4 linked regions of the Rhinolophus ferrumequinum genome follow. The protein of the gene in region 1 interacts with the protein of each later gene in a pairwise test. Links are inferred from orthologs where the notes say so. Each region holds a gene or a part of one and is shown in the gene's direction. Other genes may lie near its edges.

Region 1 (7,880 bases):
AAAAACAAACAACCCAATTGAAAAATGGGCAGACAACCCGAAGAGACATTTCTCCAAAGAGGACAAATGGCAAATAGACATGAAAAAATGCTCAACATCACTAATCATCAGAGAAATGCAAATAAAAACCACAATGAGACATCACCGCACCCCAGTCAGAATGGCTATCATCAAAAAGACAAATAGTAACAAGTGTTGGAGAGGCTGTGGAGAAAAAGGAAGCCTCATACACTGTTGGTGGGAATGCAGACTGGTGCAGCCGCTATGGAGGGCAGTGCAGAGGTTCCTCCAAAAATTATGAATAGAATTACCATATGACCCAGCAATCCCTCTCCTGAGTATCTACCCAAAAAATCCAAAAACATTTATCCATGAAGACAGACACGTGTGCTCCAATGTTTTATTGCAGCTTTATTTATGGTGAACAAGACATGGAACCAACCAAAACGTCCTTCGATAGATGAATGGATAAAGAAGTTGTGATATACATACACAATGGAATACTATTTGACAGTTAGAAAAGATGAAATAGGACCATTTGTGACAACATGGATGGATCTTGAGATTTTAATGCTGAGCGAAATAAGTCAGACAGAAAAAGCAGAGAACCATATGATTTCACTGATATGTGGTATATAAACCAAAAAGAACAAAAGAACAAGACAAACAAATGAGAAACACTCATAGACAGACAATAGTTTAGTGGTTACCAGAGGGTAAGGGGGGCTGGGGGAGGTTGGTAGATGAGGGTAAAAGGGATCAAATATATGGTGATGGAAGGAGAACTGACTCTGGGTGGTGAACACACAATGGGATTTATAGATGATGTAATACAGAACTGTACACCTGAAATCTATGTAACTTTACTAACAATTGTCACCCCAATAAACTTTAAATAAAAACAAAAGAAAACCAATATGGCAATACCCATTAAGATTATAACTCCACAATGTTTCTACCCAGGAACCCTTCTCACAATAATAAATGCACTACACATAAGGGCATATGTTCAGAGAATCTTTATTGTAACACCATTTATGCAGCAGGGAAAAAAAGGGGAAAAAAACCTAAGTAAATGCCCGCCTGCTGAGAAAGTGCTGAAAAATGTATGGTGAAAAGGAGTAAACTGCAGGTATCCTTAACTGTGCTGGCTTTGCTGTTCTCTGAGTGTTCCTGGGAATGGCAAATTCAAATTTTGATAGCAGCGAAAAGGATTACTTTAAGGTTGAATTAGAGGAAGAAAGTGTGATTCTCACATTGGTTCCAGTTAGTGAGGAAACTAATGAAGAACGTGAAATGGAACCAAGCATTTCTTCAATCTCAGAAGACAACCTGAAGATTCCTAGGACAGATGATGAAGTTTATCTTCCTCAAACGAGTGAACAGTTCAAAGCTTGTCCAAAACCAATGCTCCCCTTGCCGACCATTTTGCCTTCAATTAATAAAGTGCGTTGGGACACTTTGCGGAACTGGTGCCAACAATTTAATTTGAGTACTGATGGCAAGAAAATAGACGTTTATCTGAGGCTCAAGGAACATGCATACTCTGAAGAAAAACAAAACATTCCTGAAATACTACAGGAGTCAAGTTCAAAGAAATGCAAGATGGTGACCAAGAAAGCAAGGAGTAAGAAAAGTTGTAAGATGAGTGAGAGAGAGCAAATGACCAACAGCGTTGAAGTGATAACTTCAGCTCAGGAAGCCATGTTGGCAGCATGGGCAAGACTTGCTGCAAGAGCCGTTCAACCTAAGGCTATGAATTCATGTCCCATTCCTGCTTCTGCTGAGAACTTTCTGCTGCAAACGTCTGGTGTCAGGTGGTGTGTGGTCCACGGCAGACCTCTCTTGGCAGACAGAGAGGGTTGGGTTCACCTGCAGTTCTATGCAGGTCAGGCGTGGGTGCCTGACCCTCCCAAGAAGATGATCTCTCTCTTCCTGTTGCCGGCCTGCACTTTCCCATACCCAGACCTAGAAGATAATATGTTATGCCCCGATTGTGTTAAGAGGAATAAGAGGATGATGGAAAGATTAACTACAATGAAGAAGTAGAAGCAACCTGGTTTGAACACAATCATATCATTCCTTTTGGATTGGCCATGTCTTAATAAAGAATAAACGGTGGATAGATAGCTCACAGATACATTGATTTGTATCCCAGTGATTGCTGTGCCCTGTCCTGGCCATCCTCAGTGTTGCCTGATGCCTGGAGTACAGATGTGAATGTCTGGATTCTGTACTTCAGGTCTGCCAAAAAGTGACTGCCCCTGCTGCTTCAGGTATTTAGCTATAACATATAGAATATAAGTTGGTTTTCTTTTAATTAATAGATTTTTTTAAGCAGTTTTAAATTTTCAGAAAAAATTGAGCAGAAACTAGAGTTCCCAAATTCTGTTCCCTGCACTCCCCCATTTTCCCTACTGTCGACATCCTGCACCAGAGGGGTACATTTATTGAACGTACATTGACACTTCATTATCCCCGAAAGCCCATAGTTTACATTAGGGTCCACTCTTTATGTTTTACATTCTATGGGTTTTGAGAAATGTATAATGACATATCCACCATTATAGTGTCATACAAAATAGCTTCACTGCCCTAAAAATTATGTGCTCCACCTATTTAACCCCTGACACATTTTCTGTATCCATAGCTTTGCCTTTTCCAGAATGTCATACAGTTGGAATCATACAGTTGCCTTTTCACATTGACTTCTTTCAGAGCAAAGTAAATTTAGGATTCCTTCATATCTTTTCATGGCTCGATAGCTCACTTTTTTTTGTTTTGTTTTAAATTAAAGTTTATTGGGGTGACAATTGTTGGTAAAGTTACATAGGTTTCAGGTGTACAATTCTGTAATACATAATCTATATATCACTTTGTGTGTTCACCCAGTGTCAGTCAGTTCTCTTTTCGTCACCATATATTTGATCCCTTAGCCCACTTTTTTTCCTTTTTTTTTAGCAGTGAATACTCCATTGTCTGGATGTACCATAAGTTGTTTATCCATTCACATATTGAAAGCCATCTCGGTTGCTTCCAAGTTTTGGCAATTATGAATAAAGCTGCTATAAACAAAAAAAAAAAAAAACAAAAAAAAAATGTATGGTATCTGCAGAACAAGACCTGTTATGCAATCATTAAAAATGTTAAATGACGGAGCAGCAGGGTGGCTCAGTTAGTTGGAACATGGGCTCTGAACAGCAATCGGTTCGATTCCCACGTGGGCCAGTGGGCTGTACCTTCCACAGCAAGGTTGAGGGACGTCCACTTGGAGCTGATGGGCCCTGGGAAAACACACTGTCCCCCAATAAGATCTTTTTAAAAAGTAATTGCGGTGTAAAGGGTTAAAATAATTGCAAAAACCGCAATTACTTTCAAAAAAAAAAAGTTAAATGAAAAATATTACTAAATTTTTTTTACACCTGAAAATGTAAGCACTGGCTCCATAGTAGGGAAACAGACTATCTCATCATATGCTGGTGTGGACATACAACCTTATTAGACTTTTAAATTTTTATGCCTTTTGACCCAACAGCCCAACTTCTAGGAATCTGTCCTACTAATAAATGGTATGACCATCTAAAGATACATGTGCAAATATATTAAATCACCTTGCACACCTTAAAGTAATACAATGTTGTATGTCAATTATATCTCAATAAAACTGGGGGGAAACATATATGTGCAAGGATGTTCACTACAGCTTTTATTTAATAAGACTTGGGAAGAACCTAAATGTGTACTCAAAATAAAATGGCTGAATAAATTATATGTCTACACAATGACTAACACAGACTTGAAAAAGAATGAGGTAGTTTTATGTAACTGAAAAAGATAGAAGATAGTCAGTATAAAGTATAAAAAGCAAACTGAAGATTGTCTATTCTTGAAATTTTTCATAATTAAAAAGTGGAAAAAAAAAGGTGGGGGAAAATTCGATGCCTTGCGTTTTTCTGGGTAAGAGTCTCAGAAGTCTGGATAGTTGAACCCTCTTCATCCCCAAGCCACCATACGTGACTTTGACCAGTTTTCTACCTGTACTGCTAATATACCCATTTCTTCTACATGACTCAGTAATTTTAAGCTAGTTGCTTCTGTTCTCCCTTCCTGATATAAAAACATTAAAGTGTGTATTTCTAACTTTTCGTCTCATTAAAAATGTTATCTCATTATTATACTTCATTTTTGCATGGTCCTGTGTTGGAAATCCCTTGGTACAAATCAACATTACAACTGATGACTCTCTCTCCAAAACAAAGCTAAAGAGGCTGACTATCCAGTTAGTGGCTTTCAAATTACCCTACCTTAGAATTGAGACGTTTTGTGAACTAGAACAAGTACTGTTGCTAAAATCCCTAATGGCCAAATAGCAATGAGGGAAAAGTTAATAAATGTGATTTTCTCAAGTTTAATCCTCTTCAATCATTGGCAACCTTAAAAAGAAAAGTGAACAAAAAGGAAACCAGTAAAGAAAAAGTAAACTAATTGTACTTAACATGTGTGATCAAAATCTTTATAACGCGCACTTTTTAATATTTTCTGCAAGTAAATAGTTTCTGGCTCCTAGGATGAGGTTAAATGCTGCACAGTGTAAATAACATCACAATTTACACAGGAACAAGTTGGGTCACTGGCCATTTCCCTCGGCGGGGTACACCAAAACTTGCTCCTTCCTCTCTTTCAGTAAGCATTCTGCATGCCAAACGTCGGGGGAGAGCCGGCGGGGCAAGCTGCCTACTCTACCCACCTTGGACTAACTCCTCCCCGCCCCCTTTACACCTTTACCCAGCACCTACTCCTGCCCAGCCCCAACTTTTCCCCTGCCCCATCACCCCTCTACTCATCGCTAGCTCCTCCCCAGTCTCATCACACCTCTTTCAGCAGAGGCTTCCTCTGCTTCATCGCTGCAAAACCACCTGCTGCGAAGCTTCCAACATCAGGAGAGGAAAACAGGGGACTATATTGCAAAAATCTGTAGTCTCCATACAAGCACCATCTGCTCTCGCGAAGAAACTCAAGTCACAGCCCCAAAGAGGAAAGAGCGCGCCTGGGCTCGCACATAGTTAACGGGCGTTTCGGGCGCGCTCGCGGCCGGGCCCAAGCAAGGAGCTGAGTATACAAAGGTGAGCAGTAGAGTCGCGGTACCAGCTCAATCGGGACTCCCAGTCCAGCGGGGGAGGTGATCATTTCTTTAAAGCTCGCATAGTAGAGGTAGGGCGAGGAGCACTTAAAGCCCACGGCTGGGAGAATGTACTTAATCCCTGAACCGTAAAGGGCTAACTCTAAACTAGTCGGAAGTGACGTGCCTGCTGAGACCCGCAGGTCCACCACGTAACTGGCCGCGCCTCACCTAGCCACCTTCTCCCCGGAATGGCCTGCAGAGGATAAGTGTAACTGAAAGTCCGCCGCCCGCCCTCGCCCCGCCCCCGTCGGCTCCCGGCGCCACCCGGGGTCAGCCGAGCCCAGCCAGAGTCCGAGCCGCTGCCGGGCCCGGAGAGCCTCGCCTGCCCGCGCCCGTCGGCGCCCTGCGGGCAATGGGCTTCAGAGCTCAGCCACGCGCATGCGCGGCCCTCTCTCCAGCGGATTCCTCAGGTCACCTGGACGACAACGTTTCAGCCACCTGCCCCTCCAGGTCCCTTCTCGCCCTTGACTCCTCCTGCAGATTCTCACCACCGGCCTCCCGCCTTCTTCCGCAGGCACCGCCAGGCCCTCCCGCGGCCACCCGCCGATACCACGGCTTCCACTGACACGAGCCTCTCGGCGCCGTTTCCGCTTCCGGCGAGTATTGTGTGTCGCGCTGCGGGGCGGGGGCGGGGGGAGGAGGAAAGAGGGAGGCAGTGCTCCGGCGGCTCCGCGCCCCGCACTACCGGACCCGAAGCCGGGAAGGTAGGTGCTGTCCCGCCGCCGCGCCCGGGCCCCGGGGCCTGCCCCGCCGGCCGGTTCCGCACGCCGCGTCCCAGCGCCCCGCGACTGCGTCACCAGCCCCCCGCACGTAACCACCGCTGCCTCCTCCCGCCTCGGGCCCGGGCGGACGTTTTGCCGCCCCGGCGACGTCAGCGCGTCCGGCGTTGCTTGGCTACCCCGCCGTTTCCCCGTCCCGCTGCCGCTCGCCTCCCCCGGTGAAACTCTGACGCGGTCGCCGCGGGTCTCGGCTGCGTCATAGCAGCGGGCATCCCACCTTCACGTCACACTCCTCCCGACCTGGACACTCATCCCTCCTTCCCTGCCAACCTCTCCCTCCTCTCCAGTACCCCTGCGCCAGATCTGACGGGAGAAGGAGCCGGGGGTGGGACCGAGTTGTGGACCACGCTCAGGAGAGGGTCGCAAGGTGGGACCCCGGACAGTGGTAGAAACAAAATGAGGACGTCCCTGAAGTTTGCCCTTCTACAGAGACACGAGGAACAGAGGGAAAGAAATGACCAATCCAGAGGCGCCCGAGGCCTCACTATGGCTGTAGCTCCAAGCCCTCTCCATACTCTCCTGACCTTTTCCCCATTTCTTTCACACCACTTCTTTGCCAGTCAGATCCCTCCTGGTCCCTAACTGCGTACAATTCAACTCACCCCAGGTGAGGAGGACACCTAATTCCTAGAATATTGGGGTAAGGGCAGGATCACTACTCACAGTTGGAGTTCCATAGGTGGAGAAAAATCATCTAACTGAATGGTCTCCTGGTTCAGGAAAGAAATTGAGGTCCAAATTAGTTACTACTCCAAGTTAACACATTTCACGTGTGCCATCAATATATACAGGAATAATCATTGTTAACCCAACTCATTATAGGGGCACATAGACCCTCTCTCAGCACATAGACATACTAAATTTCTTTCCTTCTGTTGGGACCCTTGGAGGGGAGGGAGGGTGGAAGGTGGGGTGATAGGGATAGAGAAACCAACCATTTCATAGATTAAAATGGTGACATTTTAAGGATGGAGTAGGGGACCAGTCTTCTGCTTTTATAAATGCTTTATGCATTTCCAACTCTTTTGAGGCTTCACTTGGAGATTTTGATTGCCTTCTTTACTTTTCATTCCCAACCACTCCAAAACCTATAGTTGGAGGCACAGTATGTCCAAGGAATTAGTTATCGATAGCTATTTCATAAGACTCCAGTCCCTGCAGGATATTTAAAATAGATTTTTTCATCCCTCTTTTCAAGAAGTTCTCAGCCTGGACTCAGTAACACACTCTTTAGTATAGTTGCCATGAGTTTATCACTTTTCGGAAGTTCCAAATGTACAATTGCACACAAATAGAATAGGATGTTGTGTGAATCATTTCATTCCAAGAGGAGGGCACACTTCCTCTACACTAGTCTGATAAAAGGAAGAAGAATTTCAATCTTTCCTGAAAAGAAGGTTGTTAGCCTTGCCTAACTAATTCCATTTATTACTGTTTGAAAGAGAGAGAGAATAGTGGCAGAGAATCAAGCTTGGGCTCCAATGGACTATTGTAATAAAACTCTTCTGTAACATTAAACTTTAAAATATACCTAATTTAAGAGATCTTAATACTTTGACTTTAATGGCATTTTGCACTTTCGCAAACTCCTTTCTCATCTATTAGAAAAATATGTCACACTAGGGATAAATTGGTCTGGCATTATTGGTTTTAAGATAGAAGTGGTATGAGCCTGGATCAGGAGAAGTATACTGAGCTAGAGTTGAAAGAAGCCTCCATTTCTAACAAGAGAAAGCAGAGGTGAAAAACAGAAGAGATTGGCAGTTGTGTGTCAGTTTGCTGAAGATGAAAAAAAATTAGATCGATAGCTGGGAGTCAAAAGTTTTGAAAATGGAGAAACAAAAGAGAGGTTGAATCTGGTGCAAGAGAAGATGTGAAATACCAAAATGGGGCTAAATGTGGAGTTAGGATTTTACATG
Region 2 (7,344 bases), on another chromosome or scaffold:
GGCAGAAAGACATCTAACACAATCAGTGTAAGAAGTTCAGTGTTACCATAGTGATATAAACAGACTGGGTTAACATAAGAAAGGAGTAAAATTCCTGGGTTTATGGACCATCTCTCACCAACTTTAAGTGCGTCATTCTCTTAATACTATAAATACTCCCAAATGAAAAATACCTGAATATCTGGAGGTACTGTTAATTGCGTACTTGGACTCCTGGGATGAAAGAGCTAATAAAAACTTAATTTTCCTAAGGGGAGTATCACTGGCATGAAGGAAAAAATAAACGAAAGTTCCTTTCATTATATAGGTAGGCCTAAGCTTTTGCAAGCTGTCCAAGATTTGCTCTCTAAAAATGGACCTACTAGCACCTCCTAACTACACACAACTTCCACAGCAGGGCACCAGTTCGTGTGGGGCACTGAGGAGTCATCAAAGATGTATTTACATGAGCCTGACATAGAATGTACAATCAGACCTCTGTCTGATGGAGTTGCAGCCTCTTGAGAATCTGGAGCAGCAGCCAAAAGGGGAAGGGGGAGGATATGAGGATGCAGGAAGAAGAAAAATCCCAATCAGGACTCAGTTCCAATTAAGCTCTCCAAATGTCCTTTCTGCTGAGGGTGCTACACACATTTCTCAGAACTATATTTTACTGTCCTTTAGCAATCTTTTGGATTCAGGAACAGTGGTCTCCTCAGGGAATCACAAATGTGGGACAATATAATAAAGGCTGAAAAAAAGAAAATACAAATAACTAAGAAGATGAAAATTTATATCCATCACCTGTAATTTCAACATGTCCAAAAATCACTTCAAAATTAGTTCCTTTCCCAACCTCCATTTTTGGACAAAGTACTTCTCTTTTGCTTACCATCAGGCTCAAAAACTTGGAGTCATCCTAGAGTTCTCCCTTTCCTTCAAGCCCTATAACTAGTTAAGCCTCAAATTCCAGATTCTTCCTTTTCTCATTTCCATTCACTTATTCAGTTTTTTACTGCACATCTACTTATGCTAGTCTCTAGGAGACTCTGTTGGTAGGAATAGCAGAGTAGGATGTGGAGATACGTACAGAAATAGCTACTAAACAAGTCTGCTAATAAGTTTATGAGTGGTTGAGAAATAAATACCACACAGATTCTGAAGTGTGAGATGATGTCTGATTGAAGTAATCAAAAAACACTTGGAGGGCAGGCAGCGAGCCCTCAAACTGGGTCTTGAATCCTACATCTACCTTTGATTAGACAGAGCTAGGGAAGGAAACCATTCGGGGAATAGCAAATCAAGGTGGCTGCCTGGAACTAAAGGTCCAGGAGGGGAATAATGAGAGTAAAGGCTGGAGCTAGGTAGTGGCAGCTTTTGACTGCCAGGTCATTTCTCTTCCATCATTTGAACCTTTATATCTGATACTTTCATCAGGAACCCAGGTACAAAACAAAGTTGGTGGTAGCTGCCTCTGTGATAACAGGGTGTTCCTTCTGCATTTACAATTTGTAGGAGAGGCTACCACTGTAGTGGCTTAATAGACAGTGGTCCTTTCAGCACTAACAAAGCTTGACTTAGGATGGAGGATCCCATCTTATTCTAGGAATGCTTCAAAACCTGGTCAGCCTTCAACAACCCTAACTAGGGCTGTAATCTAAGATTGGGAATACCAATTTAATTCTTCTCAAATTTGCTTTCATTATGCGACTCCTTTGCTCAAGGATCTACAATGACTCCTATTAACTATAATAGATCATTCAAGTGCCTTTGCCTGGAATCCACGGCTATGCATAATGCAACCCCCCCCCCAAACCTTTTCAACCTTATGTTGCTACCCCTGTTACTTATCTGTTACTACCAACCTCCTTTCTTAGTCTGAAGGGTTAAATTACAACAGGGCTGGTGTTACAGTCTTAGCTGAGTTAAATTTAAATTAGACAACAGTTTAGGCCATTTTTTTCAGGTATAAAAACAAATTTTACAAGGACATTTATAAGAACTTGGCCATCCTTATTCACGTCGTCTTCTTAAGTGTGTTCTGCATTTTTCAAATGCAATTATTGTGTTCATGATATATAAATGTGAAAGAATAGTTACTAATAACACTGATATAGCCATGTTCTTTATCTTGGTAGGAGGTAGGTGTATACATTTTTCAAAATCAGTGACTATACACAGGATTTGTACAATTCATTGGATATGAATTTTACACCAAACTAAATTGTAAACAAATATACCTACCAAAGTATTTAGGGGGAAGTGTACTGACATCTGCAAATTAAACGTATGGATAGATATGTGATAAAGCAAGTTACATTAAATTGTTAATGGCAAAATCTAGGTGGTGGAGTACTCGTATGTATGTTTCTTATGAAATTCTTTAGACTTTGCTGTGTTTTAAAATGTTCATATAAAACACCAGGAAAAATGCCATTGAAAACACACTGTACTTGTTCATTATAATTGTAAGCACTAATAACACACTAAGCTTCATAAAGCTGTAAGCAGTTAAACTTAGTGGAATGGCAGCATCAGGCATTTGCTCCTTGATGCTTCATGCCACCTTGCACATACCTTTTATAGCCCTATTCATGGTGTAGTGTACTATCTGTTTGCATGGTTTTCTCTCCCACCCCACTACAGTGGCAGATACATATCTAGTCTAATTTGTATTTATGTTCCTATTGCTTTGCATCTGTTTAAAGAATAATATATATTCAATAATGGTGGAATTATTGAATAAATAATTGGATAAAAGTGTAATTGCTAAGGAGCAAAGTATTGTACTTCCTGCAGATTTACTTTATTCATTTCACATATTCTAAATAAAAATTAATATGTTAAATTTTCAAGAGAAATGCGTCCTTTACTTTTTCTCAAGACCGCAAAATTTTCAAAAATAGGCAAAACTCTTCTGTATTCATGAGATTTTGTATTCTCTTACGTAACACGAGGTCTGAAGGCCTCCTAATTATTCAATAACTTCTAATTTTTTTTCTAAAAGAGAATTCCAATGAAACCTGGAATTTGTTTCATTCAAATCTTATATAAGCTGTCAGAACTAAGAGATCCCTGAACCTGTCAAATGCAGGAAACTGGAGATCTGGGGAAAATATAAAAACAAACACCACATAAGTCATGAAGCAAATTAATCAAGAACTTTACTATTAAGAAACGGAGGGAAAGTCTTAAGGATACGTAGAACATCTCAAACTCCCCTCAGGCTGGCCTCTCTCCTCTCTCCAATTACAGCCCGTCAAAGATCAGGCCGCCCTGCCCCTCCCAACATGCCACGCGACTGGAGCCGATGCCTCTGAAGATGCTTCTTGTCCCGTTGACCTCCCAGGATCAAGTGCTTTCGCGACGTGATCACCAGATTCTGAACTGGAGGACCTGGGGCCGCGTCCCAGCTCCCCCACCTGCCTGATCTGCGAGCCTCTTGCCCTCGCTAGGCCGGATTCCCACCTGTGAAATGGTAATCACTCTCCTAACCCGTGCCGGCGCACAGGGTGGCTATAAACCAAGACGAGGGGCGTAAAGGCGTATTAAAGAAGATGCAAGTAACTGTTACGCCTCTTATGCACGCGGTACTCACAATCTGCCCGAGACCAATCTCTCAAGTCACCGCTGTCCCTCACTCCCTTCCCGCCCCACGTCTATTCTGAGGCCGCTCCCTCCCGTTGGCCCCCATGCGGAAGCCCCGCAGCGCCGTCTGCCGTACCTGCAGCCACTCGGTCAGCGGGGCCCTCCTGCTGACCCATGACGAAGTCGTGCACGAGGCCCCGCAGGGCGCCTGTGGGAGCCACCGCCTCCAGAGTGGCGGCGGCGGCCATGACGCGAACTAGAGACCGTGGGAGGGGAAGTGGGCGGTGGTACGGGACGGAACTCTCAGCGCATGCGCCTCCTGAGCCAATCGCCTGGCGGAAGCAGAAGGCGGGGCGCTCCCTGGATCACGTGCCTGCCGGCTCCAAGGCAGGCGGTTCTAGGGAGAAGTGGGATGGGTCCTCCCCCAAGGGGCGGGGCCTGGAGTGGCCATGGCGGCGCGGGGAGGGGAGGTGGCTGCTGGGCACGCAGCCGGGGGCCATTGAAGGAGAATAATTCCCGGCCCTGCTACCCGGGAGACGGGCGGCGGGGCGGGCCCCTAGTTGGGTGGGGTCGAGGGGCGGTACGCACCCTGGGGGAAGCCAATGAGAAAATCAGACCCGGCCCGAGGGGGCGGTGCCGTCGGTCACATGCGCACCTGGGGCGGGCGGTGGCGGCGGCGGCGGCGGCTGGGGCACTGCGAGCCCACGGCAAGGAGCTGGGCCGGGCTGGGGCGGGGTTAGGCAGGTGAGTGACAGACTCCGGGGGGCCGGCCCCAGCCCGGAGCCGCGAGCTAGCCGGGTGTAGCCGCGGCGGTGACCGCCCCCTCTCTCCGCCCCTCCAGCGGAGCTGGTCTTGGGCCGGGCACCGTCGCGGGCCCCCCTGGCCCGGCCACCTGGGACTGTACTAGGGAGTCGGCCACCTCCCTCTCTCCCCTCGCCGCAAAGTTTGTGGCGAAGCCGGCTTTGGGGCACAGCGCGCCCCCGGGGGCAGATCCAGCAGCGCCCGATGGCTGGCGGCAAGAGCCGTTGACCAGGGACGCCGCCGTCCGGGGCCGGAGCGCTGAGCAGCGGACCAGCCCGCCGCCTCCGGTGCATGGGGCCCGGCTGAGGAGCCAGCATGGGCAACTGCGTGGGGAGACAGCGCCGGGAGAGGCCGGCCGCCCCAGGACACCCCCGCAAGCGAGCAGGTAACGACGGGGAAGGGTACAGGGCCACGGGCGCCCCGCCAGTTGTCCCCTCCTTGCCCGAGCCTTGGGCTTCCCAGGCGACTTCCCATGGCTCCTGGCGCCGGGTTTCCCCGATGGCTTCCCCCGAGCCAGACTGGGGTCCCCTTCCCCAGCCCTGTCGCCAGGGGAGTCTAGTTGGGGCAACAGCGAGCGCTGACCCGGCTTTGAGCCCAACTCTCTCCAACTGGGAAGCTCCGGGTGGGGGTGGGGGTGGGGGCGGGGGCAGGAAATGTTTGCAAACCGCAGCGGGGCCGGCGGAGGGAAGGAGGGCCCGGGCCAGGGGCCCCACTGGCCGGGCAACCGGGCCGGGGTCCGACGCCGGCCCGTCGGGGCATGGCTCTGGCGGCCAGGCGTCCCCAGAACTCGGAGCGAGCGAGGCGAGAACAGTCGCTCTTTCCCAAGACTGTCTGTGTCATTATCGGGCTGCAGATCGTGTCTGCCGGAATCCGACTTGCAAAAGCACCGCAGGACTCTGGGAAAGAAATCTTTATTTTTCCCGCAGGGCTTTTTAGAGCCTCGCGTCCGTCTGGGAGTCTAGACAAGGTGGGGTGCGGGGTGGGAATAGCCCTCGGGTTTGTTGGGATCCTTGGGGTCCTTTCCAGCCACGGGAATGGGATTTCAACTGGTCATCCGCGAGGGCCAGGCAGCGCCTTCTCACTTTCTTGGTACACTCCTATCCTGGCTCTTCGCCCCGGGAAGAGGTCTGACGGTCGGTTCCCTGGGTCTTGTGCTCACTTCCTTCTCTGAGGTTGTTGCAGGGACCTTCTGAGAATTTTTAAAATCGTGATCTTTAGAGTTGAAAGGCACCTTCTAAACTTGTCTGGAGTCCAAATAGACCTACCTCCTCCTATCTGTGAAAATGCCCACATCCAGAGAGGTTGAGCAACTTGCCCAAACTCTTACAGCTAGTTAGTAGTACAGTTGGGGCTAGAACATAGTCTCCTCTTCCACTCAATTGCCACATATCCCTTTATGTAAGAGGAGCCACAGGCAGAGTTGTTAATGAAGTGGAAACTCTAGTTGGAGTTTCCTGTCTCCTTGGACACCGAAGGTGTGTTGGTTGATTTGCGGAAACTGGGAAAGAGGATGAGGGGAAACATGGGTGAAGCAGGGAAGGATGTCTGTGTTGTGGACAGGATGACTTGTGGAAGAAGATATGTGTTTTTGTAGAACAGGGTAAAATTTAACATTGAAATCCTCTTGGCAACCCTGGCCATTCTGACTGAGGAAAGTTGATTCTCAAACCCAAAGCCTTTCTTCCTTATTTCATTCATTTATTCAACAAATATTTATTATTTATGTGCTCAGTCCACATGATTGATTTTGTCGCATTTTTCACTGTCAGCCCTCTCCTCCTTGAAACTCTACCCCCTTCCCTTCGTGGTGTTTATTAGACTATCTTGGTTTTTTTTCTCAGCTCACTCCTATCCGCCATCACCTCCTAGGTGTGAGCACACCAGTGGTTCAATTTGACATTCCTTTTTTTTCTCTCATTACACTTCCTTCCAGAGAAATTTTAATCAGTCCCACAACTCTTTGTCCATTGGGGAGACACTTAAGCTGTATCTTCAACTATTCCTTCTCAGACTCCAGACTCGTGTCGTTGAATGCACACTGGACATTGCGATATAGTTATCCTCAGATTCAGCACTTCTAAAAACCAAGCTCTGCATCTCTCCCCCCTCAGGCAGCTTCCCTATGCTCTTCCATCCTTGCAGCTGCCTAACTTTGGACTTTGAAGACCTCTCTCTGCTGACTTTCTCTGCCTCCTGTGCTCTGCCTCCCAGCCGGTTAGTCATTGGGACCTGCTGGTGTTTCCTTCAGCAGGTGGTACAAACCTGCCCCTTCACATTCTACTTCACACGCTTGTCACCTCAAGTCCAACTCATCTCCCAGGTTGAAGTTAGTTCCCCATCAAAGGCAAAATCATCTTCAGTCATTCATCCAGTGCCTGCACACCATGGTCCCCCCAGAAGACGTTTTGTTTGTTAAATTAACCTGCTTCAAGCCCTATCGTTCTATGTTCAGAAAAAAATTTTGTACCTCCTCACTTATACAAAAACTTTAACTTTCAAGGTCGTTCAAATCTGGTCCAGTCCTTATTTTTAAGGCATGATTTCTTTCTCTTACCTGACAATAAAGGCCGCCAGTGTTTGCTCGTGCCATTTCCCCGTTTATCAAGACCCTTTCTAGCCTTCAAGGTCCATCTCAAATCTCATATCTTTCTAGAAGCACCTTGCCTGACAGTGCCACCCCCTCCCCTGTAGATCTGATTGCTTCTTCTGAGAACTCCTGCAGACACGTTATGCCACTTAACAATTATCTACTCCATATTATTAGTCATTTCTTTGATGTTTATAGTCTTACATCAGCAACTACATTGCAAGCCTTGAAGACCTGGCTTCTGTCTTATCCTTCCTTGTGTGTGTGTGCGCGCGCGCGTGCGTGCGCACGCATGCACGCCTGTCTCTCTTTTTCACTTATATAACCATGCACATGCACACTTGCACGCGTGCACACACACACACACACACACACAGCATTTAGCACAA
Region 3 (7,984 bases), on another chromosome or scaffold:
ACTTAAAAATTATATTGTTTTCTTCTCCATTTAGATGAAATATCCAGGATAGGTAAATCCATAGAAACAGAACGCAGGCTGGTGGGGGCCAGGAGCTGGGGGGGAGGGAGGATGGGGAGTGACTGCCAATGGGCACAGGGTTTCCTTCTGGGGTGACGAGAATGTTCTGGAACTAGATAGAAGTTATGGTTGCACAACATTGTGAATGTACTAAATGCCACTGAACTGTGTACTTAAAAAATGATTATGTTGATGTTGCATGGATCTCATCTCAATTAAAAAAGTTGTATTGGTTTTAAAATTTTTTTATGATTTTGTACATTTTTTAATATTGGGAAATAGTGTTTTTACTGAAGATTAATATACATGGAAAAGTGCAAAAATCATACAGCGCTCTGAAATTTCACAAACTCAACACACCTGTTTAACCAGCTCATCTAGGTGTTTTATTCTTTTTTTCTTTTTAGGTGTTTCGTTCTTTATAATAGAATTAATACAAGTTAGTTTAGGGAAAAAAAGAGAAAATACACATAGTTTTTAAAAAAGGAGGAAAAAGAAAATGCAGAAAGTAAACACATCCATAATCTTTCATCTGTAGGCAATCACCATGGACAATTTGGGCATATCCACCCAGACTACCTTCTAAAAATGTACAGGTATGATACTGTTCTGTAACATAATTTTTTTACCTATGCTTTGTAAATACTTTTCATGGTAATAAATACCTATGTTTATCGTGTGTGTGTGTGTGTGTCCTTGAAAAACCATTGTAATTACTATAACCAACCCTTACAACCAAAGAATTAGAAACAGCATCTGCAATGATCTATCTCACTTGAAATGACAGTTTCATGCTCTTTGATAATGATTTTCTTTGTTAAATTACTCTGACTTCATATTAATGTCCTATTTTTTTCAATTGCTTTCTCCCTTGCCCTGCGCTCTGCCCAGGCACTAAATATTGACAGTCTCACGTGGACAACCCCCACCTTCTTCGTCCTCTCGCAGTCATATAGAAGCATATATAGACACATATATGGGGGAGCTGATTTTGTTGTATAAAAATAGGATCATACGCCATGTGGGTCTCTGCATCTTAATTTCCACAGTGTCTAAATATTGGCGACTGTGCTGGATGGTCTATTTGCCCTTCCAATTCTCTTCCTCCCTGTCTCCCTCTATGCCCCAAGCTCCTTTGCCCTCAGCCAGCCAGAGGCTGGGGCAGGAGGTGAGAGGAGGGAGAGGACAGCTATTTCCTGCCATGCTCCCCCTCTGCCAGATGTTTGGGCAGCAGCTGTGTTTCTCTGCTGAAGATCACACTCCTGCTGGGTGGCCACACCTTCTCTAGGTTCCAAAGCTACTCCCTTCCTTTGACCTTGTAAGTCTGGGGGTGGGATCTGACCCTCAAGGTGGCCGTCCCAGGCGGTTTTATCATCCCTTTAAATGCTTCCTTAACTTTGCCCTGACTCTGTAAATAGCCTTTTCATTAAATGCCCCTTAAATGTTCTGAGTGTGCCAGCTGTTTTGTGATGAGGCCCTGAACCGATTCAGCAACTAATTTAAAATTCTTAAAAATTCTTAGCCAACTCACACAATCCTGCCACCAATTTGGACGTTGGTTTATAGATGCAGGAATGGAGGGTAATTGACTTGGCAGTCTGCCTGACTCCTAGGCCAGGGTGGAGGGGAAATACGGAAAATTTGCTGAGTCCTGAAGGCAGGCAATATGAATTCTGACCGACCAGGTCTTCCTAGGGTACCTCTAGTTTCCTGGCTCTATTTCCCAATTCTGTATCTCTTGGTTCTGAAATGGAAATGAGCACAAGATGGGCGTTTGGAAGAGGCAAACAATTTAAGTTCTCTGAAACCTTAAACAAAGACTTTCTAAAACAAAGGCTTTGCTGGCTATCTGCGCAGGTAAGATGAACCAGGACAACTGGAATGGGGAAATAGCCTGTTCCCTTAGACTCCTCTGGTAAACATTCACTCAGTCAAACATTTGAAGGTAAACAAGCCTCAACCAACATCCTTTGTCCTCAGTGCTTAGACACAGATAAACATACATGGATAATAACAGGTGGAAAGTGCTGTAAACAGCCTAGCTTTGGGGCGGGTTGGAGACTGATTCCCCAGGGGAGGTAATATGTGAGGTGGCTCTTGAAGGAGGAGCTGAAATCACTCTGGCCTGGGTCTGCCTGATGGCCCAGTTGGTTAGAGCCCGAGCTCTGGACAACAAGGTTGTGGGTTCTATTCCCTAATGGGATGACGGGCTGTGCCCCCAACAGCTTAAAGGTTGAAGACAGCTGCTGGACTTGGAACTGAGCTGCGCCCTCCACAACTAGATTGAAGGACAATTACTTGGAGCTGATGGGCCCTGGAGAAACACACTGTCCCCCAATATTACCCAAAAAAATTTAAAGGAAGAAAAAAGATATCACCCTGGCTTGACCTGACCTGAGATGGTGCCCTAGAGAAGGGATAAGCAGGTGCCAGACCCTGTGCCAAGAGAGACGGAGAAATACATGTACCAGAAAGTGTGGGTGGAAAATAAGTTGTCTATGTGTGGTGGAGGGTGTGTGTGGGTGGGTTCAAAAGGCAAGTAGGGTTAGAAGTGTCTTGAAAGACAAGAGAAGGGTGCTGGAAAGCCACCGAAAGCTTTTAAATAGCAGAGTGACAATGTCACACCTTGGGTAGGTTATTTTGGGTGCCATATGGAGAATGGATGAAAGGGGCAACCTAGAAGCTGAGACAAGTTCATAGGCCACTGCAATCAGGAAAAATATTGGGGTGGTAGGAGAGTAGAGGTGAAGGTGATGGATGAGAGCTATGAATGCAGGAGCAGAAACAGAATGTAGGTTTATGATAATCATAACAATATTGACAATAATAACATAATACAGTGATTTAAACAATAGGTGTGGTTTCAAGACTGCATAGGTGAGAATCTTCTCCCCTCCCTTTTACTTGGAAAAATGTCAAACCTCAGAAGAATTGCAAGATTGTTTCCATGAACATCCATATACCCTTCACCTAGGTTTACCTATTGTTACATTTTGCTTCTCTCTCTCTCTCTCTCTCTCTCTCTCTCTCTCTCTCTCTCTCTCTCTCTCTCTCTTTCTCTCTCTCTCTCTCTCTCCACCCTCTCTTTCTCTCCCTCTGTATGTAGCTTTTTTTCCTGAACCACTTGCAAATTGCAGAAATTATGACACTACACCTCTAAATACTTTAGCATTCATCTCCTTTGAATAAGGAGAGTCTCTTATATGATCACAATACCATTTTCTTACTGAGAGAATTTAATATTGATACACTATAATATAAAGTCCATATCAAATTTCATTAATTATCCCAATAATGTCTTTTAAATTGCTGCTTTTTAATGAAAAAAAATCTAATATCTAATCAAAGATTGTGCATTGTATTTAATTATCATGTGTCTCTCTCTTTTTCCTTTTTTTGGGGGTGGGGGTCAATGTTAGAAATGTTAGTTTATTTAAAAAACATAATTGAACAAAATATAGGAAGCCTAGTGTAATTGGTTCTACTTTTTTTCTTTATAAAGATGATTTTTGTAACTTTCTATTTAGAAATTATTTCAAACTCACAGGAAAGTTGCAAAGATGGTACAAAGAATGTTCACATATTGTTCACATAGGTTTCACCTAGAGTCAGCAATTATTTTCACTCTGCCACATTTGCCTCATCATTCTTTTGTCTACAAATATAAATTCGTATTTTTTATGAACCATTTGAAAATAAGTTGACTCTCTTTCCCCTAGATACTACAGGGTCCTTTTTCTAGGGACGTTGTCTTGTATAACCACAGTGTAAGCATCAAAATTAGGAAATGTAACATTGATACTATACCAGCTAATTCAAATTTCCCCAATTGTCCCAAGAATGTCTTTTTGTAGCTTTTATTATTTTTTTTTAGGGGACCCAGGATCCAAACAAGGAGCACACATTGCATTTCCCTGCATCTCTTCAATCTTTAATTTAGGCAATCACCTACCACGTGCATGTATTTCACAACACTGACCTTTTTGAAGAGTTCAAGCCAGTTGTTTTGAAGAATGTCCCTCAAATTAGGATTTGTTTTCCATCGTTGGATTCAGGGCAAACATGGCTGAATACTACATCAGTGATGTGTCCTTTTCAGTGCAAAATGTTAGGGGCGCATATTAAGATACTAAGTTTCATCGTTGGGTTTCAAGCGGGGTTGAAATTTGGGCTGCTTATTGAGCTGGTTGGGCAAGTTGGTTAGTGAGAGAGCTTTCTCAGCTGTCAAATGAGGGTCCTAATGTTGGTTTCAAGAACAGTGTCTCGCAGATTTTAAGTATTTGGTAAATTATCAGTATTACTGTTCTCATCAATATTATTTTTAACCAAAATTTATAGAGACTTTAATTATGTGACGGGACTGAGCCCAGCATTCAATTCTGTACCCCTCTAGCACCCAGGACAATGTGAGGCACAAAGGAAGCATTCAATAAATATTTGTTGGCAAAATGTCAGCTCTACGACATTGATTGCTATTGATATGGAACCAATTTACAGATGCGAAAACGGAGGCTCAGAGAAATGTAGTAATTTACCTAAGGTCACTACATTGCAGTAAGTAGATTTGAACTCAAGCTTGTAAAACGGGGGATTCGGAATCTGAATGTGTTTTGTAAACCCTCAGGGGCTCTGTCATGTGAAGAGCTGAGCTGGAGCGCCACGCACAGTGCTCTCGGACGGACATACGAGTACAGTCGGCATTCAATACGTAAATGTTAGTTGAATGAATGAGGAAAGAAAATGAGTCAGCTAAGGAGTGATCATCCGCCCTGGTCAGGGACAGCGCTTGGAGGGTACAGACAGGGAAGCCATTCCTCTGCATCCCGTCCCAGGTGGAGTCACCCCAGGACCACGTGTTCCGGCAGGGTGTGGCTTCCGGTGACACCGCCCCACCGACGGAGCCACGCCCCTCACGCCTCCCCGCGCTCGCGGCCGGCCGAGGTGTTTTGGCCCGCGGGCGGAGCCGTAGTCAGTCTCCCCCGCGTCTGCGACCGGGAAAGCGGGTGTTCAGAATCCCCGGTGGAGGTGCACGATGTCGGAGAAGGAAGAGAAGCCGAGCGCAGGCTTTCCGCAGGCCGGCGCGGTGACTGTCAGCGACATCCAGGAGCTGATACGGCGCAAGGAGGAAATCGAAGCGCAGATCAAGGCCAATTATGACGTTCTGGAGAGCGTGAGTGTGGGCGCCGGGTCCCCGGGCGGCGTGGGGGGCACCCCAAGGGCTCCGGACTCGGCCCCCCGACCCGGAAGGACTGGGAGGCCGGGGCGGCCTCCGCTTGAGCTCTCAGCTGTGGCTCTCGCCCTCCGTGGGAGGCCCTAGGCGCCGCACCTGCGACCTCTGTCGGCTGCGGGCAGTGAGGCAAATACCGTTGAAAACTAAGAACAACATTGGTATTCAAGCGAAAGTTTATGGAGCCCTTACTATGTGCTGGGCTCTGTTTTACGTGATTTTCATTGGTGAGCTCATTTAATCGTCGCAGCAACCCTTTGAGGTGAGCTCTATTATTTCCACCATTTTAGGGATGAAGAAACAGGCGTCACTTAACTTAGACCTGCCGCGCGTCACAGAGCTAACAAGTTTGCAGAGGCTGGGTGATTGATAGTCTCCACATCATCAGTCTTTGTTGAACCTTTACCTGATGGCCTGTGTTCTACTAAACACTTTATGTCAGAGCTTCGTAAACGTTAATGTGTATGTTAAAGTTTAGATTCTGATGGGGGGCGGGGCACGCGTGAACAGATGCTGTGTTTCTGGCGATGCTGACGCTACTGGTCGAAGGACTGAGCTTTGAGTGATAGGTAAGGCTCATTCGCCTTGATATATAAGGAGGAAACTGAAGCTCAGAGTGGGGCAGACCCCTGCCTAGGGTTTTGTAGCTATGAAGTGGCAGTAGTGGGGCTAGTTTCCAGGTCCGTCTGGCTCCCAAACGGATATTTTTTTTCAAGCCACCTAGTAGTGTAAAACCACAAATCAATTTGCAGAGAAGGGGTAAATTAGTTACATCTTATGTAAGGGCGGATGGAATGCATTTTAGGTGGTGGGAGTAAGATGAAGTATCAGATGGAGGCGAGGGTACCATTTTACTGAGTGCCTGACTCTGTGACTGAAGGGTGCTGGTTAATGAAGGGGAAGTCACTTGCTCAAAGTCACAAAGTGGGATATAGATCTCAGGCCTGCTGAATCCAGAACCGGTGCTTTCAAACATGCCAGCAGTTTTTTTTTAAAGTTTTATTGGGGAATATTGGGGAACAGTGTGTTTTTCCAGGACCCATCAGCTCCAAGTCAAGTCTTAGTTTTTTTTCAGTCTAGTTGTAGAGGGTGCAGCTCACTGGCCCATGTGGGAATCGAACCGGCAACCTTGCTGTTAGAAGCACTTCGTTCTAACCCACTGGGCCAATGGGCCGCCTCCCAGCAATTTCTTAAACTTCAGTTACTCTCTACCGTAAACAGGACGTTGTATCCATATACTTCCTGTACTGTTATTCCCTTTATGTTTTTCTTTAAATTCACTCACTTTTTTACTTAAATTTATTTGAAAAAGAAATTTTATAATTCTACAGCATGTGAAAAAATGAGACTCTTTTTCCTTTAAATGTAAGGTATAAAAATGCATAACAAAGTGATCCATCCAAATGTCCATCAACTGATGAATAGATAAATAAAATGTGGTCTGTCCATACAGTGGGATATTATTCAATAAAAAGGAATGAAGTGCTGACACGCTACAACATACATGAGCCTTGAAAACATGGTGCTATAGAGTTCATTACAAAAGACCACGTATTTTATGATTCCATTTATACGACATATTCAGAATATAGGCAAATCTGTAGGCAGAAAGTAGCGTAGTGGTTGCTGGGGCTGAGGGGAGCGGGGGAATCAGTGATTGCTAATGGATCCGGAGTTTCTTTTTGGACAGTGATGAAAATGGTCTAAAATAGATTGTGGTGATAGTTACGTAACTCTGTGAATATTCTAAAAGCTGTTGAATTATACACCTTAAATAGGTGGGTTGTATGGCATGTGAATTGTAACTCCATAAAGCTGTGAAAAACACAATGGAGAGGCCCAGAGATAGCAGTGATCTGTAGGTGATAGAAAGAACAGCACCAAATGGAGATTTTCTCCTTAATTATTGAAGGATTGAAGATAGTTGGTAAGGGAATAAATATTTTAGATTCAGGGTTATTTAATGCGCTGTGTGTGGGTCCCAACTTTTGAAAGTAGTGCCTTATGTGGTACTGATTCAGGAAGGCCAGTCAACTCTTAGTCATTGTGGGAAAGCAGGAGGCAGACACAGTTATGTAGCCCGTGACACCTTTGTGCGGTATCTGTAGAGTCCTGTGGTAAGGGAGTATATGGGACCCTCTCCCCTCCACCCCCCGCAGGCTTCTAGAGACAAAGGGAGATAAATGGAATCTCTCCGTCTAGTAACTGTGTACATTGGGCACTGTCTCTCTGTTGGCTAATAATTACAGCCATCATTTATTACTTTCTACGTATGTTCATTTCCTAGGGCCGCCATAACACATGGCCACAAGCTGTGGGGCTTAAAACAAGAGAAGTTTATTTTCTCATACTTCTGGAGGCGAAGTCGGAAATCAAGATGAAGGCAGGGTTGGTTCCTTCTGGAGGCTCTGACGGAGAATCCATTCCATGCCTCTCTCCTAGTTTCTGGTGGCTGCCGGCCATCCTTGGCTTGTAGCTGTATCACTCCAGTGTCTGCCTCATAGGGTCTTCCCGCTGTGTCTCTGTGTCCCAAATGCCCCTTTCCTTTTTCTCATAAGGACATCTGGCAATGGATTGAGGGCCCACCCTAAATCTAGGATGATCTTACCTTGAGGTCCTTAATTCCATCTGCAAAGACCTTATTTCCAAATAAGGTCACATTCACAGGTTCTGGGGGTTAGGACTCTGACTTATCTT
Region 4 (7,603 bases), on another chromosome or scaffold:
CTTTTATTTGAGATTATAAGGCATATGATCCTTTATTTCACAGTGCTAAATTGTAATTTTCAGTATGTCAAACATTTAAAAAAGATGAACACAGGGGTGGCCAGTTAGTTCAGTTAGTTAGAGTGTGATGCTAATAACACCAAGGTTGCTGGTTCGATCCCCACATGGGCCACTGTGAGCTGTGCCCTCCTTAAAAAAAATATAAAAAGAAAGAAAAAAAGATGAACACAGTAACACAATGAACATGGTGTGTCCTTCTGTGAGTTAGCTATTGTTGTATAACAAATTACCCCAGAACTTAATCACTGAAATAACAAACATTTATTATCTCATGCAAATTCTGAGGGTCAGGAATCTAGGGAGTTCCAGCTCAGGGTCTCTCATGAGACTGTAATCAAGATACCAGCCAGGGCTGCCTCATCATGAGAGCTCAAGTGGGGCTGAAAGAGCCCCTTCCAAGGTGGTTCCCTCACATGGCTGTTGGCAGGAGGCCTCAGCTCCTCACCACGCGGACCTCTCTACAGTGCTGCTTGAGCATCTTCACAACATGGTGGCTGGCTTCCCCACAGTGAGTGACCCCAGGAAGAGCCACAAAGAGAAACTCAGGAAGAGCCGCTGTGCCTTTCATATCTACCAGTAGTCTCAAAGCTATAGACTATTATTTCCGTCCTTTTCCATTTGTTAAAAGCAAGTCACTAAGTCCAGCCCACACTCAAGGGGAGGGGAATTAGATTTCACCTTTGAAAGGAGGAGTGTCAAAGAATTTATAGACATATTTTAAAACCACTACAACCATACACCTATGTTCAATGATTGTTAACATTTTTCCATCTATGTTTCATATGTGTGTGTATGTGAATATATATATTCAAATATAACATATATATATTTGAATATATATAATATTCATAATTCATAACATAATGTGTATGTAAATATATGTACAATTGACCCTTGAACAATGGGGGGGGCTTGGGGCACCAACCTTCTGCACAAGGTTGAAAATCTGTGTATAATTTTGACTCCCCCCAAAACTTAACTACTAATACTCTCCTGTTGACTGGAAGCCATAAAGAGTCGATGAACACATATTTTGTTTGTTATGTGTATTATAGACTGTATTCTTACAATAAAGTGAGCTAGAGAAAAGAAAAGGTTATTAAGAAAACCACAAGGAAGAGAAAATACATTTACAGTATTTATTTTTTTAAAATGTGGACCTATACAGTTCAGACATTTACAGTATTTATTTTTTTAAAAGTGGACCTATACAGTTCAGACCCATTTTGTTCAAGGGTCAACTGTATATATATCTGTTTTTAAACATTTGAAAGTTTCATACATCATGACACTTCACCCCTAAATACTTCAGCATTTCCTAAGAATAAGGACCTTTCATTAAATAAGCAAGATACTTTTATGGCACCAAAGAAAATGCATATTTATTCCACGATACTGTTTAATATCCAATTCATTTTCAATTGTCTTCATTATTCTAAGAAGTTTTTTCAGCTTTTTTTTTTTAACCAGGACCACATCAAGATTCATGCCCTGCATTAAAGATTATGTTTCTTTATTCCTTTTTATTTAGAATCTTTTATTTTTCACAGCATTGACTTTTTTTTTTTAAAGCTTAATATTGTAATACCTTTAATGGCCCCCTTTTCCTGCCTTTTAAAACTTTTTTATTGGGGAACAGTGTGTTTCTCCAGGGCCCATCAGCTCCAACTTGTCCTTCAGTCTAGTTGTGGAGGGTGCAGCTCAGCTCCAAGTCCAGCTGCCGTTTTCAATCTTACTTGCAGGGGACGCAGACCACCATCCCATGCGGGAATTGAACCGGCAACCTTGTTGTTAAGAGCTCACGCTCTCACCAGGTGAACCATTCGGCCACCCCTCCAGCAGCTCAGTGGCAGCTCAGTGGCAGTTCATTGTCTTCAATCTAGTTGTTGAGGGCACAGCTCACTGGCCCATGTGGGAATCGAACTGGCATCCCCGTTGGTCAGAGCTCACACTCTAACTGAGCCATCTGGCCACCCCACATCATTGACTTTTTGGAGCGACCAGGCCAGTTGGCTTAAAGAATGTGTTACATGATGGTTTGTTCCATTTGTTTCTCTACCCCTTGTTCCTGTAAGTTAGGCCTAGAGGTTTAATTCAATCACCCTGTATTTTTAAGTATTATTTTCTATTGTAAAAGTCATAATGCTCCATTACATAAAATTTGGAAACTAAGAAAAAAGGAAGAAAAATCCCTTATGATCTCCCCAATCCAAATAACCAATGTTAGACTTTTTCCCTTCTTTGCCATGTTTTTCCGTACTGGTATGTTTCTATCCTGTAAACAGGGTGGGCAGACAATGTCATCTATTGCATTTTTGCTCAATGCTGTCGTGTGGTAGACAGCCTCCACGGTGGACCCCAGTGAGCTCAGCCTCCCGGTATTCACATGACTGTGAAGTCAGCTCCCACATTGTACCACGGATGGTCTGTGTTACTAATAAAAATGGCAGACGTGATGGTATAGCAAGTTTAATATTAGGTCATAAAAAAAAAGACTGCAACTTCCTTCTTGGGCACTTCTCTCTCTCTCTCTCCCTCTCTCTCTCTGGTGGAATCCAGCTGCCATGTAGTAGGACACTCAAGCAGTCTGTAGAAAGGTTCATATAGAAAGTACCTCAGGACTCTAGACAAGAGTCAGTAAGGAACTGGAGCCTGCCAACAACCATTTGAGCGAGCTTTGACGTAGACCCTCCTTGTCAAGACTTCAGGTGAGTCCTTAGCCCCAGCCAACAGCTTCAGTGCAAGAACATGAACAAGAACAAGCAGTATGTTTCCATCCTGTAAACAGGGTGGGCAGACAATGTCATCTATTGCATTTTTGCTCAATGCTGTCGTGTGGTAGACAGCCTCCACGGTGGACCCCAGTGAGCCTTGAGCCAGAATCACTCAGCTAAGCCACTCCTGAGTCCTGATGCACAGAAATTATGAGATGTTTGTTATTGTAAGCTGCTAAATTTGGGGATAATATGTTATATAGTAATTAATTACTAACACATCTTCTCAAGGATTTTTCCCTTGCTACTTTTTAATTCTCATGATCACACTTCCTGATGGTTATAGAATATTCCATACAGGGGATGATCAGACCACACATTACTTGCTCTTAGCTGAGAATCTTCTCTCTTCCCTCACCCTGCTCCTGGCACCATGTTTGGTGAATAAGCAAACACTTCAGGATCCTTCCCTTTGCTATTTCCTCTGCCTGGAACACTCTTCTCCCAGCTATCCCCGTGGTTTGGTCCCTTGTCTCCTTGAGAAGTCTCTATTAAAATGTCAGACCTTACTAGCCTATCTAAAAGAACGCGCATCACTCGATTCCTTTCTCCTACTGTATTTTTCTTCATAGAAGTGATCACGACGACCTGGCACGATTTCCTTGTTTAATAGCTGTATCACTGTGAGCCCCTCAGAAGCAGAAGCCTGCCTGTCTTGTTCCCTGCTATGACTCCACTGACCTGACACATAGTAGATGCTCAGTAAATGATTGGGGAATGACTGCTCTCACACTCTACTGCATGGAGGAAACACAACCAGGAGAATTCTTCCTAAAGTGTGTGTGTGTGTGTGTGTGTGTGTGTGTGTGTACGTGTGTATAATTTTTTTCTTTTGCTGGAGTATTTTAAAGCACATCTCAGATGTAATTTCACCCATAAATACCTCAGAATGCATCTCCGAAAAAAGACCTAACTTAACCTATTTAAACTTAACTACCATGCCATTATCACCCTTAACAAAATTAACAATAGCTCTTCTATATCATTTAATGCCTAGACACATTCAAATGTCCCTGCTGGTCTAAAAAATGTCCTTTTTCTGTGCCTGATCCTCTTATTTGATGATGCAAACTGCCCACACTCTGCCCTCCCCTATTCTTGTTTTCCACTTTATTTTCCTCATAGAGCCTAACACCATCTACCCTACCAGATTTTATTTCTCATAGTCTGTCCCTCCCCAACCTCATCAAAAAACTCATGAGCTCTACGAGGGCAGGGAATTGTTGTCTTGATTTCCTCACTGCTGGTACAGATCCGACTCTCAAGAAATATTAAAAGGAGTAACATATTATAACGTGTGCCATTTACTGAGCCTTCCGATGGTTTCATCGTGCTCACAATCCTCCTAGGGAGCGGGTGCTATTCTTATCCCCACTTCACAGATAGGAAACTGAAGCTCAGAAAGGTTGGGGGGGTGGCGGGAAACTGGGGCTGACCACGGGGCTGGGTTGTGGGGGCCTTGAACGCCCACAATTTAATTGGCACTTTATCACGTAAGGGCTGGGGAGCCAGGGATGGTTTGCGAGCAGGGCCAGAGCTCTCCCCGTGAGGTCAGATGGCCTAGCCCTCCCTCTCTTGTCACCCCTCACGGAAAGCGGTGGAAGGCGTCCAAGCTCAACCACCAGTTAGAAGCGCGCACGTCGCCCCTGGCAACGGAGTCCGGAAGAACCACCGAGACGCGGCCCGAGAGTACAGAGCGGTCGCCGAGGGCCAGCGAGGCGCAGAGAGCTAGAAAGGCGCGCCGGGCCGATTGTCACGTGGGCGGACGTGCGAAGGCGGGACTTCTGGTGGCGCCGTATTTTTTTTCCGGTTGTTGGCTCCTGCCGACCCCTCCCTGACTGGGCCCTTGGGCCCTCAGCCCCTCGCCCCCCGCGGCCCCCTGCCGCCGGGCCCGCCGCCACCATGAAGAAATTCTTTGAGGAAATCAAAGCTGACATCAAGTTTAAGGGCGCGGGGCCTGGACAGAAGCTCACGGAGTCGGTGGGGTGCGTGACGGGCGCTGGGCATGAGGCCGGGGGCGGGGATGGACAAGGGATGCCTGAGAAGGCGAGGGGCGGGCCGGGGAGGCCGAGGTTCGGGGGGTGGGGAGAGACCTCGGGGGGCGGGGCGTGGGGGCAGCGGTGGGAGTAAGAAGGGAGGGGAAGCCTCCGGGTTCGGGGCGGGACGGTGAGGCCCGAGGGGGCGGGGCAGGGGCAGCGGAACCGCGGGGTCAAGGGAGAGGCTCGGGGGCGAAGGAGATGCCCCGGAGAGGCTTATAGATTTGGGAGACTCAAAGTGATGGGAATTGGGGGCTGAGCCCGGAGAAGCAAAGAGGCGAGAGGCTGAGCGTCCGTGGTGATCGGGGTCTGGGCCCTGGTTCTGGAGAGTGCGGGAGGAATAGATGAAGAGTCTGGAAGGCCAGGGAGCCTGAGGCATTGTTGGGAAGGGTCAGCAGGGATTTGGGAGGTCTGGGTGAATGGGGTGGTGGTGCTGCGAGGGGCTGAGGAAGGTCTGGGAGGAGAATGGAGGCGGGGGGTGGGGCGAGGAGCAGGGGCTGTGGTGGGGGCCTTGTGGGTGTGGTTGAGTGAAAGGGAGAGTAGGAAGAGGGTGCCCTTGGGCCTCCGTGGGTTGTCTGGGGAGGACTTGGAGAAGGAAAGGCCCGGGGGCAAGACTGGAAATGTAGTGGAGAGAGGTGTGTGGAGGGCCAGAGCTGCAGGGGGGCAGTGAAGACCGGGAGCAGGGAGGATGCCAAACGTCAGGGCTGGTGGGCTGGGAAGAAAGCTCCGCTGGGTGGTGGGACGAGCAAAGGGGCTGCAGAGGGGGCTGTGGGGACTGAGGAAGTGGTCCTAGGAAGAGGAGAGGCTGCGGAAAGATGGCAGCCTGGGCAGGGGCCTGTGAGGAACAATGGAAGGAATTGTGAAGAGGTAGGGGCTGGGAGGGAGAGGGTAGGAGGAGAGGCAGGAAGGGGTGGTGGGTGAGGGCGAGTGGGTGCAGGGCAAGGACCTCAGGGCCTCTGTCACGAGGATTGGGGGTTCTTGGGAGGGGAGTGCTGAGCGGGACGAAGGAGGCCTGTGAGGACCACCCCTGTTTGTAAGGGAGGGAAGCAGAGTGGAGAAAACCGTGTCCTGGGAGCCTGAGGAGGGAGAGGAGGGCAGCTTAAGAGGGGTCCAGGGGGAGCGATGGATCAGACAAGGGGGTCCATTCATTTGTTCCATAAGTGGTGGGTGGAGGTGGGGGCTGGGGCAGCTGGCACTGTGTGACAAAAAGGAGGTGGGGGTGATGGTTGTGCCATAGTGGAGGCCTGGGAGGAGAGGGCAAGGCAGTAGGGTGGAGACCCAGGCTTCTGTGACACGTCAGGAGCAAGATGGGAGACTCAAGGTGGGCAGGAGGGTGTGTGTCAAGCACCACTTCAGCATGAGTGAGATAAAATCCCCTTTCTCTCAGGGCTGGTCTTCTAGTGGGGGAAGATGGACAAATAAATCAATACACATGTGATGAAAGATCACGTGGTGCCTGGGGCCATAAAAAAAAAAAGGCATGGGATAGTGAGTGATGAGGGGACCCATAGATGGTCCAGGAATGCCTCCTGGAGAAGGCGACATTTGAGCTAAGAGCTGGAGGAGGTGAGACTCAGCCATGTGGAAAACAACCCCTTTCCCGCTCCCACTCTCTTTCTCTCCCTCTTCCTCCCTCACGTGTGCTGGCAGGAAGCAGTTTTACCCCCTCCCAGACCTGCCTTCCTCCCTTTCCTCACCCCATTCCCAGGCAGAACGTTGGGGCAGAAGGCACCAGAAGTGCAAAGGCCCCGTGGCAGGACCCAGCTGAGCCTGTGTGAGCAACAGCTGGGAGAGCAATGTAGACAGAGGAGTGAACCGGGGAGACGGGCAGGTTGCGCCGGGCCCAGGGCCACGGGTGGCTTTAGGATTCTGTTATGCCAGTGGGAAGACTTGGTACAGAGTTGTGATAAGTGCTGGCTCAGGTTTTACAGGGATCCCTGTGGCTGCCCAGTGGAGCCAGGAAGGGGCTGGTTGAGGTGTCTTGGAGAGAGGCATATTCCAAATGTCAGTGTCACATGGGGCTAGGGCAAGTCTACGTGACTCCTTTTGTCTTCGCCACGAGGTTCTCCGCGTTGGGGAGGGCTGGCGAGAGGGGTCGGAATGGGCAGGAGGCAGGCCCCGGAGGACTTGGAGTAAGGAGAGAGGCTGCGTGCGTGTCTGAGCGGGGCGGGAGGGGTGAGGCCATGGACTGAGAGCCTTGGCTCCGGAGAAGGCTTTACGGCTTAGCACAGGCCCCCAACTGCTGGGGCCAGGAGAGGGTCCTGAGGGAAGAAGGCGGCGAGGCCGGTGAGGCAGACCAGGGCAGGAGGAAGGACTTCTCTGCTGGGACATTCAAAGCCCGCTCATTCCCTGCTAAGCAGATGCAGAAGCCATCGTCCCCTAGGGTCATCACAGTGCTTATTTCCCAGGGTGGAGGTGAGATTAAACCGGATCTTTATAACACGTTTACCCAGGGCCTGCCGCTTTCTGAGCTTCGGTGATCCTCTAGGACGTGGGAAAGGGGATCTTAAGACCTCCCTCACAGGGGGTGTTGCCATGAGGAATTGGGCGCTGCCTGGCACACAGTATGTGCTCAAAGGCAACGGTCGCTGTTGTAGACAATAAGGGTTAAGACTCTTACTGGGGAGGGAGTGAGAAGAGGAATGATACCTCTGAGTCTCATCAGTACCTGAAGATATCAGCATGTGTGCGGGGGTGCTGTTACCCCCATTTAACCCTGAAGGGAATAGAAGT

The links.
Region 2: the proteins of TRIM39 (region 1) and UBTD1 interact in binary tests that used the Homo sapiens proteins (3 or more experiments, as listed by UniProt). The two-hybrid records come from large-scale screens. The link is inferred for Rhinolophus ferrumequinum from reciprocal best matches to the Homo sapiens genes TRIM39 and UBTD1.
Region 3: the proteins of TRIM39 (region 1) and PSMD9 interact in binary tests that used the Homo sapiens proteins (3 or more experiments, as listed by UniProt). The two-hybrid records come from large-scale screens. The link is inferred for Rhinolophus ferrumequinum from reciprocal best matches to the Homo sapiens genes TRIM39 and PSMD9.
Region 4: the proteins of TRIM39 (region 1) and UBXN6 interact in binary tests that used the Homo sapiens proteins (3 or more experiments, as listed by UniProt). The link is inferred for Rhinolophus ferrumequinum from reciprocal best matches to the Homo sapiens genes TRIM39 and UBXN6.

What each region holds. Positions count from the first base shown.
Region 1 is NC_046286.1:1,119,099-1,126,978, forward strand, and holds the start of TRIM39 (E3 ubiquitin-protein ligase TRIM39), read left to right. Parts: upstream 1-4,872; 5' UTR 4,873-5,592; exon of another isoform or gene 5,593-5,696; 5' UTR 5,697-5,778; exon of another isoform or gene 5,779-5,886; intron 5,887-7,880. Other genes in the region: developmental pluripotency-associated protein 2-like, read left to right, coding at 1,180-2,049.
Region 2 is NC_046299.1:26,307,696-26,315,039, reverse strand, and holds the start of UBTD1 (ubiquitin domain-containing protein 1), read left to right. Parts: upstream 1-4,340; 5' UTR 4,341-4,683; coding exon 4,684-4,753; intron 4,754-7,344. UniProt on the Homo sapiens protein: May be involved in the regulation of cellular senescence through a positive feedback loop with TP53. Is a TP53 downstream target gene that increases the stability of TP53 protein by promoting the ubiquitination and degradation of MDM2.
Region 3 is NC_046308.1:5,407,197-5,415,180, reverse strand, and holds the start of PSMD9 (26S proteasome non-ATPase regulatory subunit 9), read left to right. Parts: upstream 1-4,969; 5' UTR 4,970-5,092; coding exon 5,093-5,230; intron 5,231-7,984. UniProt on the Homo sapiens protein: Acts as a chaperone during the assembly of the 26S proteasome, specifically of the base subcomplex of the PA700/19S regulatory complex (RC).
Region 4 is NC_046301.1:59,267,306-59,274,908, forward strand, and holds the start of UBXN6 (UBX domain-containing protein 6), read left to right. Parts: upstream 1-4,597; 5' UTR 4,598-4,736; coding exon 4,737-4,819; intron 4,820-7,151; exon of another isoform or gene 7,152-7,285; intron 7,286-7,603. UniProt on the Homo sapiens protein: May negatively regulate the ATPase activity of VCP, an ATP-driven segregase that associates with different cofactors to control a wide variety of cellular processes.